Linked DNA regions of Arabidopsis thaliana. The protein of the gene in region 1 interacts with the protein of each later gene in a pairwise test. Each region holds a gene or a part of one and is shown on either strand. Other genes may lie near its edges.

Region 1 (5,911 bases):
TTCTTGATACAACAAAACCAAGAGAACAAACCAAAACCATCTAAAAAAACTTGCCTCAAGCTAAAATGCTACTACTCTTGTTGTGTAAAGTTTAAGTCTTTCCTAACAGAACATACACAGAGAAAGAAAACAAAAAATCCCAAACTTACCTATGCAACATTGGAGAGCCACAAGCCGCCATAAACTGAGCAGCAACCATGCTCTTTTGCTGAGCTAACTTCATCCTCATCATCCCCTCAAGCATGTAATCCATCTCACTCGGCGATCCAAAGACACCAGAGGAACCAAAACCATCAACTAAACCGCCTTGTGGAAATTGATGACAACCATTTCCTCCTCCAAACCATGGTTCCTCTGACTCAAAACAAGCATCGTTAGCAGAGAAACTCCTCTTGTGAGAATTGGCAAATGGGTCCTCGTCGTTTGTGAACAGAAAGTTGTTACTGAATTGTTGTTGCTGCTGCTCATCGCCGGAAGAAGAGGCAAAAAGTGATGAACTTTCACGAAAAGGACTAGAATTGAAGTTAGGCTTATTATCTCTGAGTGTGTTCAAAGTTAACGAAGAAGACAAAGGGTTACTAGGGTTTCTCGAGAACTCTAAGAACCCATTTCTGGGAGAAGACGAGGACAATGACTGGCCATGGATATTGATGGGTCTCGAGAAACCGTTCGAGGAAAAACCTAAATCGACTTTAGCTTTCTGACAGAAAGTCTGTATGAGAGAGTCAGGACCAAAAGCAATTCGAATCAAATCTCTTTGTTCCATGTCTTGCAAGAGAAAATAGTCAATGACTCTGGAAGCGTTCTCAAGTTCGAAAGTTCTGATCTTTGAAAAGATTATTGAAGTTGGGTCGCCAGGATCCATGGCCGGAGAAGTTTTGTTTTTCCCCACAAGATGGTGAAGAAGACGAAGAGAAAAAAGGTGAAGGCTCTTTTTGGGTTTGCGTTAAATCATAAATGTATGTTTCTTTTAGAATTTTGTATGATTTTGTCTTTGTAAAAAGCATTTAGCAAAAAAAACAATTTTTTTTAAAAATCGAACCTTTTTTGTTTTTATTGTTCTTTGAAACTGTTATCGATTTTTAGGGATATTCAAGTTTCGTAAAGAGCGAGATTAGAATGGAAAGAAATCATATATATTGACCTGATTATTTTGGCAAATTAAGAGCATTAACAGATTTTAAAAAGATTGTAGTAACAGATTTTAGTAGGTATCAACACTATGTATTCCCTTTTTCATGGATAAAGTAGCTTTTTCAATACATTGTTTTCGTTTTTGTTTTTTTGTTTATTAGATTGATTTGTTAGAAGAACAATTTATATTTGCAGTAAAAGATTATTGGAGATAATTAAATTATTTAGTTAAAATAATTTATATAAAGTAATTTTTTAGTTAACTAAATTATTTGACCCCAAAAAAAAAAAGAAATTCTTGGTCTGCCACTTTCTATACTCTATACTAATAAAGATTTTAGTTTCTTCACCTATAGTAATGGGAATCACTTGGTTCCAACAAAATTGATAATTACAACTGTTTGGTGGATTTAATTTTTTTTTTCTCCCAAACTCTTTGGCGTTACAACCTGCAAGTAAAAGGGGAAAAATGAGGTCAAAAACTCTATCAAAAAACAAAACCAAATGAATAAGGGCCAGGCTTATCCCTGAACATAGCTAAGTGAAAACTAGCATTGTGATGTATAGATTATATAAATCTTAGGACCTGCCCGTAAAGAAAAAGTATACTCTATAAATATTAGGACCTGCCCGTAAAATATTTTTTGCCCTTAACTCTCATGACCGGGCCAGCTAAAGACAAACGGTCACTTGAACTGTGAAGTCTACTATTTTTAGTATAGGGCTCATCGACAACAATTACCCTATCCCATCCCATAAAACAAAATTTTGTCAGGCAGCTGTTCTTTTCCCCGTCACACCAAAACTCGCGCATGACATTAATTTTTCCTCAACACTGTAACGAGTGTACGGTCTTCGGTTACTTCATTTCCAAATCCTACCCGTTAAGATTATCTTTAGATATTATATCAACGGTCGATATAGCTTCTTTAAGGACACGTGTGTTGTTAAATAGTTGTCGTAAATTGACCAGAGTTTTGTACTACTTTAGTCAACAGAACCAGACAATAAATGTTTTCCAAATTAATGCTCTCCCCTCCTCTAAATGACGTAAGTAATTATTGGCGACGAACTAAGATTTGTTTTCTTTAAATGCTTTGCATCTCTCTATGTTTTCTTTCTTAGAATTTGGTCGAACATGTTGGACGAGATTTATTTGAGATTAGAGTGGGAATTAGAAAGCAATATTCGACTATAATGATTGTATGCAAACGGATAAAACAATGATGATCACCATCAAAGAGATGGACCAGTATCGACTGTAAAGTGTTAAATACCACAATATGATTGATAGTATCCTAATTATGAAGTGATACAATAATTTGACATCATGAATGCTTAAAAAGGTATGCCATGATTCACTCTCGACATATGAAATTCAGATAATGTAACATTAACAAGAGAAGTTTTCATCAAAGGCTTAAGCCTGTTTTGTAAGAAACCTAAAAAATCAAAGGCTTAGCTTACTCTGAAGCGTGAAAGAATAAATAAAAAAAGTAAGAGCCCAAAATAAGCCCACTAACATTGACGAGAGGAGTTTAATCAAAGCCTGTTTAAAAGGGAAAAGGAAAAACTAGCGTGAGAAAGAAATACAAGCGTAAAAGCCCAAAATAAGCCCACTTAAGGTCCAATATATTCCTATAAACAACACTGGCAGAGAAATATCTTGATAGAAGAAAGAGCTCCGTCCCCAAAAACAAAGGAAACAAAAAATCAGTCGGCGAAACGGGAAGAGATCTATCGGAAATCTTACGGCGGCGGAAGTCATGGCGAACATAGAATCAGAAGCAGTCGATTTCGAGCCAGAGGAGGATGACCTTATGGACGAAGAAGGTACAGCTATTGACGGAGCTGATGTTTCTCCACGCGCGGGACATCCGAGGCTTAAGTCGGCTATTGCCGGAGCTAATGGCGAATCAGCAAAGAAGACCAAAGGCCGTGGGTTTCGCGAGGAGAAAGATTCCGATCGTCAGCGTCGTCTTTCCTCACGCGATTTCGAATCACTTGGTTCAGATGGCCGTCCTGGTCCGCAGAGATGTAATTTCACTAAATCTCTTCCTCTTTCGCTGTTTTTAGTTAGGTTTTAGTGTTGGCATACTGATTCTTCGCGTTGTTGATTTATTTGTGGTAGTAATTTGTTCTAGGGTTTCTCATAACCCCTTGTGTTTGGGATTCAATTTGACCTAGAAGTTTTTTGAAAAAAATTAGATTGGTTTAGATTTAGTTTGTAACCATTATAAAAAATGTAATGGTTCTAGAGTCTGTGAAGATAGAACATAGTTTCTTTGAGGGTAATGAAGAATTGGGACTGTTTTGGATGAATTTGTTTGTTGTGTGTGTTTATGTGTAGCCGTTGAAGGATGGATTATCTTGGTCTCTGGAGTTCATGAGGAGACACAGGAGGAGGATATAACCAATGCTTTTGGTGATTTTGGGGAGATTAAGAATCTAAATCTCAATCTCGATCGCCGTAGTGGTTATGTCAAGGTATGGAGTTTTGCCTTTGTTTCTTAGTGGCTCTTGATGTCATTATGCCTTTTGGTTAGTTATTGTGAAGCTAATTTTTTTGCTTAGTTATGTTGATATCATTTTGCCTTTTGGTTTGTTATAGTGAAGCTTGATTTGTTGGATTGTTGTCATGATGTAATTTAGAGATGAATGCAATACTGTTTTGTCGTAGATGTTGACTTTACTCTTTGACATGCTTTGTGTTAATCAATGTAATACTGAATATCTGAAATTGAGAGCCAAAAATGATAAATTTATCTTTGCAATGTTACATTGCTTTTAAGAGGGAGATGTAATATTCTGTAAAGTGCAATGCTGTTCCCTAAGGACACTTCGTTTAAGTTACTTCAAAGTGTCAGAAATGACGGGTCGAATAAGATAAGCTGTCTTCTAGATGCGAGTTTAGGAATCAAATATTATTTTTCTTTAGTTTGCTTGAGTTCTCATGGAAGTGGAAGTAACACTTTGCTTTTGTTTTTTTTGATAAGGGATATGCTTTGATAGAATATGAGAAGAAGGAAGAAGCACAGAGCGCTATTTCAGCAATGAATGGTGCTGAGCTTCTAACACAGAATGTTAGCGTTGACTGGGCCTTCAGCAGCGGTCCCAGTGGTGGTGAATCTTACAGGAGAAAGAACTCGAGGTTTGTATCCTAATCTCTTTTCTGTTCCGCTACGACTTGTCTGATCTTGTGCCGATATGAAGTCAAGAGTGTCAAAAAGTATCAATTAAGATATAGACTTAGAAGTTTTAACAGTTGACAAGGTAGTATATTGTACTAAGCACCTACCAAACTTTACTGTCTTTATGCTAATGAATCGAAATCACTTGTGACTTGTCAAGTAGTTATACCTTTCTTTAAATCATCATCCATTGATCATTGGGGTTTTACAGGTATGGGAGGTCGCAACGTTCAAGAAGTCCGAGAAGACGTTACTGATTGTATGATTTGGTGGAGAGTTCTCCCCATATCTCTCTGTATTAGGGATTCCCTCTCTTATCTGTAAGGTACTGATGCAAGACGCTGAGTGTTGAACAAATTTTTTTCTGGGGTTTTTGTAGGGTTTGGCTGCTTTTGCATTGGTTTATCTCTTTATGCATTTGCATGGGATTGTTGCGTTTAAACACCATGAGATCTGTTTTAATGCTTTGTATTGGTAAAAGAAGAGAAACATTGGATGAGGAAGAATGTTTTAATTTTCATTCTCTTATTGATTCATATTTAGGTCAGACAGAATTTGAAAATCAAAGACCTTCCATTACACTAGAAAACCAAATATGATTATATAGAAAAAATCAAAGAATTTTCAACCAATGGCATTATTTCACACTGGTTTATTATTCTAGGCGTAACTATTGGTAACCTAAATATGTTAACAGAAATCATCAAATGACTATTAAATATTTTGGCTGAAATTTTCCAATCAATGGCAATATTCACATCGTTTGTTTTTATAGGCGTAACTATTCGTATCCTAAATATGTTAAAAGAAATCATCAAAGGTTTGATGATTTGAGATAGAGCATGTACTTTCTTGCTACTCACAGGTTGCATGATTTCATTTGTACGAATCAATCATCTATACTTTGTGCATTGAGCCAGTCCCACATTATGTTTATGTATCCATCTATTTTAAGGGCTCTCATATACTAACTTACAGCTGAAAAGTATAAATATGAAACAGTTGGAACAGTTATATAAGTTCTGCTTTTGTTGTCACCAACAAAAAAAATGATATGCTTTTACATGATTCCAACAAAAAAAAAACAGTTTTGTATTCTTGTTAATGATGGTGCCAAAGGCTTATAAGACCATACCTTAGATTCTGTTGAATTTAGAATCTGGGTTTCTATCTCTTTTCTGGAAATCTTGTTTCTTTTTGTTTTCTTTTTATACCAAAACTTTGTGAAATCTTAGGTACTTTTGTTTAGTATCAGTTTACTCGTTTAAAAAGAACCAATAAACCTACTAGATATAAATAGTAAGAAGTCTATAACTTAGGGTTGTGTTAAATACTAAACAATGCTTAAAAATGTGGTTAGACATAGCGCTATACTAAAGCTAAAAAGCTAAAGATAACCATAAAATCATGAAGATAATAAATGGACGGATAGACCAAAAAGAAATAATGAAGCATAATACAAAAAAAAAACTATATCGGTTCCAACTACCACACATTTAATTCCTTTCCCTTTTCATTTAACACCTGTGAAGACTCGTTGCGAGGGTTCTCTACCTCTTTATGTCATTCAAACTTATCAATTATCA
Region 2 (5,911 bases), about 14 Mb from region 1:
TTGCTAGAATTCTTTAAACAGTAATAGCACGGATGCATTTCATTGATGAGTGATCACACTATCAGAAATAGGATTGCACAGTAAAGGAAGTACAAGAGCAAAAAAGATAAACAAACGAATTAAAAAAAAAAGCTACATAGCAAGAAAGAGATGGCAAAACGCAAACTGAACAATGCCTAGGAAGACGAAGCTGCAGCTTTGTTTCTTGGGGTGGCTTGCGTACCTGATTCACAGAATTCCATCGATCAGATTGAGCAAGTCTTAGATTATATCAAATATTTAAGTGAAGCAAAGGGTGCAATGTAGCTTTACCTTCTCTAAAGCAAGTCTTGAACCTTCGAGGGACATTACGGAGATACCTCATCCTACCAGTTCCTGTTGTCTTTCTTCTTATTGCCTTCACACTCCAGTTATCTGCACACAAAATCATAAATTCCAGGACTCTTTCATATATCTCCAATTCTCCATGATCAGACCCAAAATTCCAAGACAGAGACAGAAATAGAGAGAGAGTACATACATGTCCTCTTTCTGGCAGCTGGATAAGCACATGCCGAGCAACGACTCTTCTGGATGTGAAAGCTCCGGCGACCACATCTCACACAGAGCGTGTGTGACTTGTTCCTCCTCTTACCAAAGCTCCCTGTTCCTTTACCCTGTCATTTCCAAAGCACCGGTTACACATAAGTCACACATGAGCTTACATGGAAAAAAAATGCCAATAGATTACCATTGCCGCAGATGCAGGGGATGATCAAAGTTTGCTCTACAGAAATCTTTGCGGCTCCGAGAAGACGACTGTGTAGCGTCCTTTAGGGTTTTTCCTACCCAAAATGGATCTTCATTGGTTACCGCCAAAAATATGGGCTTCTTAATGGGCTTCATGGGCCTGGTTCTGATATTACCTCGAGTCAACTGGCATACAGTATATATAATATGAGTAGTGAGTGGTGGTGGCAATGATAAGTAGGGGACCAATTTTGAACACTGCTTATCAATGTGATGACGATTGCTTACCTATAAAAGTGGACAACACAATCAACAAGATGACACCTTCTTAAAGTCTGACACTATCAGCTTGCTTCTTCAACTACTACATGCCACTAAATCAATGTTAGGTTTCCTTTTGAGATCCCTAGTGACATAAATATGGTTATCTTCTCAAAAAAATGAGCAGCAAGAAAGATGATGAAACCTACATCAAAATCAATTCAGAGAGTTGGTCGTTTCTTAAAGAAGACTCTTGGGAGCATCAAGTCCACTATCTGCTCTAGTGATTACAAAAACTTACCTAACGACACTCCTCTCTTGAGCCCTTACTCCTGCAGCCGCCGCTGTCCAGAAGATTCCCAAACCCAAACCAAAGAAAGCTACACCGTTATCTGTTGTGACACGGCTGTGGCAGATACAACACACCAGAAGAGTCTCAACAACCAACATAAAAAGAAACCGAAGAAAGTCGCTGAGCCATTCGAGGATGCAAAGAAAAGAGGTGACGCGTTGGCGCAAAAGATGAAAGATCTCAATATGGTGGATCTGAGAGACGTGGATCACGCATTGGATGTAAGGGAAGCGCTTCGATGCTATTCAAGCATCAGAAGTCCTGTGTATCTTGACATTGTTGACAATTTCTTCACAGACATGTATTACGAGTTCTCTGATCCTCGTACCTCTGCTAAGATCAACGGTTCAAGGAGAAAGGCAGGCTCCTTCAGGCTTTAAAGTTCCTCTGGATCAGCTTTGCTTTCACGGGCTATCTGTAGTTCTTTCATCTATAGAGTATGCACTTCTTAAGAACAGTGTTAACCATTACACACACCGCTTTGGTAAAATCACCTGTCACCACCCTCAGTTTCTACCTCATCTTGTAGAGTCAAGTTACGCTCCTATTCTCAACTACTATCAATGCAACATATTTTCCACTTCAAGTTATGACAACTTACAGTTTATAATACTATATCTGAAGATAGAGATGTGACACCCTACTACTCGATTCTTGACAAAATGATTTTAGGGTAGATACCACTTTTCTTTTTCATGAAAAAATGGAGAAAGCAAACATATGTATGGAGAAGCGAAGTTACTCTTCTCGAATTATGATAAAAAGTTACATCAACACAGGATTATCTGTTTTTTTCACTTGATAAATTTGCATTTTAAAACACACTTCATGGATAAAACGGATCATTTCTTGCCACTCTTCTTAAGTCCAGAACCTCCAAAGGATCCCTTCTGCGATGCCTTGGCTCTAAGCTCTTTAAGGGCCTGTTTTATCATTTTCATTCAAAACAAAACAGGTCAGGCTTTCGGTAACAAATGATCACTGTACTTCTCATGCGAAAGAAAGGCTAATGAGTCTTTCACACAATTGGGTGGAAAAAAAGTAGACTAAACATCCTAACATGGGCAAATGGTCACTATTTCATCAAAGTAAGAAGAAACTAGTCCATATCATCTCAAAAGAATCTGTAATGAATACCCCTAAACTAACAAATAATTAATAGAAATGACCCATCTAGTTGTAGTCACCAGCTATAAAGTCATAATTAGAGTCAGCTTGATTAGTAGACCAAACTGACAAAGTGGAACATATTAATGCACAACCTTTACAAAACCTTTACAAACCTATGTATCTAAACAGAAGCTCTCTTGTGAAGATACAATCTTTGATTCGTATTTTATAGCTTTCCATTGAAAGAGGAGCCCAAACATATAAGTTTAACTAGATGCATTTTTCCAATCACAAAACTTCATATGAACAAAAAGAGAAAACAAGTCAGAGCATCAAAGTGGGAACTCACCTTTTCCTCATCTTTCTTCTTCTGAATGTTAGCTAAGTCAGTCTGCATTGATACCAAATCAACATTTCAGCAATTAGAGAATGTCTAAGAGTCATTAATACACAAATAGTATGCAAACAAAATCAAGTGAAGAAGTCAAGACTGTGCCCTTAAAAACACTGGATCAAAATTCGAACTTGCGTATAAATCATTGAATCCGAGCAAAATTAATGATTTATGAGTCACTGAATGTTAACAAATTTTAAGAATTCAAGTTAGTTGGACAATCAAAACCAGATCCAGAGCAAAAGCATCGTTTGATTCGAGGTCTAAAGCTAACAATATAAGCCGATTTAGCTGAAGGCAAATCAACAGAAAATCCAACTCTTAAAAGAAAAAAGAAACAGTAGAGTCACCTCGTCGTATTCCTTCTTATCAGCTTTAGGCTGCTTCAAAGGTTTCGCCTTTCCTCCTGTTTAAAACCAAAATAAGATGAGCAGATCGTAAACGATGTCTCTAATCACTTTATTCGGTGAACGAATCACCAACTCAAATCTCTGTATAACAGCAACGTACCTTGCTTGGAAGACATGATTGGTTCGTTGAGCTAGGGTTCGATGTTGAGCTCAAAATTGGGGAAAAAGTAGCTGAGAGTTGCAGACGGTATCGAATCTCTCTGATTGGGGCTACGGTTCATATTTATAATGAGTTCGTAGTAACAACGCAACCTATTAAATGGGCTCTGAAAGTGTATGGCCCATTAAAAGGCCTACAAATTTCTTTTTGGGCCCGTTAAATACCTTTATTTGGGTCAACCTAGGTCACAGTCGTTATATTTAATGCGCGAAATAACAAAATAAAATCGATTAATTAACAGTTAACAAAAGGTCTGGCTCCATTCGATTTCATTGGAAACCCCCAAAATCGCTGAAGAACGCCTCTCGAGCTCAGATAGGGTTTATAGGTATGCGCGAGCTTTCTTCTACATAGTCGATTAGTACGGAGCGCTTGAGCGACTCTTTCGATTTCTCAATTGAATTTCTTCTTCATCTAGGTTTTGGATTTACGAGTACCACTCTCCTTTTTTTCAGGTTTCTAGAGAGAATTTCATGGCGACATCTGAAGCGGAATATGAGAGTGATCCCGAGGAGCTGAACCGCTCCTTGGCGACGAGGAGGAGAGAAGCGAGTGATGACGATAGTGATGATGATGATGCTGTTAGAGATGTGAAAAATCAGAGGGCTGTGGTTGATTCTGACCTATCTGATGAAGAAGTTGGTACTGTGAAGTATGATAATGACGAAGATGGGGAGGATAGTTATGAGGATGATGAGGAGGAAAGTGGTGGAGGAATCGATAATGATAAGAGTGGTGTGGTGAAGGAGGCTGGTGATATGAATGGAGAGGAAGAAAATGAAAAGGAGAAGTTACAAGCTGCTGTTCCCACTGGTGGAGCTTTTTATATGCATGATGATAGGTTTCAGGAAATGTCTGCTGGCGGAAACAGGTTTACTCTCTTTACTGTGTTTGTTTTTCACAGCTTTCTCAATCAATTCTGCTTCAAAATCTGTCACTATAAGCTATCAAGTATCAACTCAACCTTATTATGCAAGGGTTGGATTTTTCAAAGTAGGTATTAACTTAGGATGAAATTGTATTTAGAGGAGAGATAATTGACTCTAAGGTGGAGTTATTGACCTCTTATTATCTTGCAATTTTATCAAGCATGAGGGGTTTGAGTAGCTGCATTGGGGATTGCTTAGTTCATACTATTGGGAAATATGATTTTTTCTGAATATAGCTCTTCCTCTCTACCTTCTATCTGTCGATTGATATAGTTCTTTATCTTGCTTTCGTAGGCGAATGCGTGGTGGGAGAAGACAGTGGGGCTCTGGAGAGGAAAGAAAATGGGGACATGACAAATTTGAAGAGATGAATACTGGGGAAAAACATTCTGATGTAAAGCTTCTGTCTATGGTTTTTAGAATAATTTTAGATTCCTCTTATCTCTTAATTGCTATAACATGTACATGTGACATATGTTAGCTTTGTTGTATTTATGCACTTTCCGTCTCTTATCTTTTTCCTTTCTTTCTTAAACTGCATTTGATACACAGCAGAGGATGTCTAGAGGCCGATTCAGAGGTCATGGTCGGGGTAGGGGACAAGGGCGTGGATACGCTAGAGGGAGCAGTTCTAACACATTAACCAGTAGTGGACAGCAAATTTATGTTCCTAAAGCTGTCTCACGAGGGAGAGGACCCAGGAAATCCGACACTCCCCTGAGGAATGAAAATCAAGCACATTCTGAGCAAAGCAAACAGTGAGTTCTTAAAAAAAAAATCCCCTAGTTGAGTGAAGGGTTTTCTCTATTATAATGTACTTGTGTACTGAATTTGTAGGTTACGAAATTCTAATGGGTCTCAAAACTCTCGTGAGAAAATGCCACACCTCGATTCACGGCGTTCACCAACTGCCCCTGCTAAAACTGAGAATCAAGGTGCCCATGCCAAAAAGAATGTAGCTGTGTCAAGTTTGAGTTCCGCTTCTCCTCCATTTTATCCTTCAGCGCCGTCCAGTAATGTGGTACATGGTATACAAGTTAGTATGGAAAGACTCCACACAAATGAAAGTGTCACGCCTTCTGGGAAGAAGTATAGGAATACAAAATCCGGTTATTCACCAGTTTGGACTGCCAAGACTCTTCAGTCCACTAGTCAAGGTAGAGGTGCACCTGCTGCTGGGAACACGTTTTACCCGCAATCTCATAGTCAAGGTGACAGATTTTCATCACCAATGCAACTCAATGGAGATTCAAAAGGCACTGGCCAAAGACCTTCCGGCCAGGGTTTTGATCAGCACTCTGCTGTTGTTAGATCATTGTCTTCCTCTCCCCAGAAAACTAGCTTATCAAGAAATCGGTATCCTCCTGATGAAATAGAATCTTCATCGGAAACAGCTGCATTGATTGCTAAAGGAAAAGGGACTCTCAGGCCTGGTGGAAGCAGCTCTTTTATGTATAGTGGATCCCAAATGATGGGGCGGCCAGAAAGTTTGACATCTGCTGACAATTCTAATTTCCCTACTTTTCTGCCTGGTAAGTTTTTTGGATGACGCTTTTCTTTGTAAAA

The links.
Region 2: the proteins of Y14 (region 1) and AT1G15280 interact in a two-hybrid assay, tested with the Arabidopsis thaliana proteins (one study listed by BioGRID).

Annotation. Positions count from the first base shown.
Region 1 is NC_003070.9:19,101,743-19,107,653, reverse strand, and holds Y14 (RNA-binding (RRM/RBD/RNP motifs) family protein), read left to right. Parts: upstream 1-2,720; 5' UTR 2,721-2,900; coding exon 2,901-3,171; intron 3,172-3,484; coding exon 3,485-3,621; intron 3,622-4,130; coding exon 4,131-4,285; intron 4,286-4,536; coding exon 4,537-4,582; 3' UTR 4,583-4,863; downstream 4,864-5,911. Other genes in the region: AT1G51520 (RNA-binding (RRM/RBD/RNP motifs) family protein), read right to left, coding at 150-865. UniProt on the Arabidopsis thaliana protein: Core component of the splicing-dependent multiprotein exon junction complex (EJC) deposited at splice junctions on mRNAs.
Region 2 is NC_003070.9:5,248,649-5,254,559, forward strand, and holds the start of AT1G15280 (CASC3/Barentsz eIF4AIII binding protein), read left to right. Parts: upstream 1-3,636; 5' UTR 3,637-3,744; intron 3,745-3,871; 5' UTR 3,872-3,889; coding exon 3,890-4,287; intron 4,288-4,639; coding exon 4,640-4,739; intron 4,740-4,897; coding exon 4,898-5,103; intron 5,104-5,182; coding exon 5,183-5,877; intron 5,878-5,911. Other genes in the region: AT1G15250 (Zinc-binding ribosomal protein family protein), read right to left, coding at 177-223, 313-414, 521-656, 731-733; AT1G15260 (LOW protein: ATP-dependent RNA helicase-like protein), read left to right, coding at 1,186-1,722; AT1G15270 (Translation machinery associated TMA7), read right to left, coding at 2,185-2,265, 2,802-2,843, 3,197-3,252, 3,357-3,372.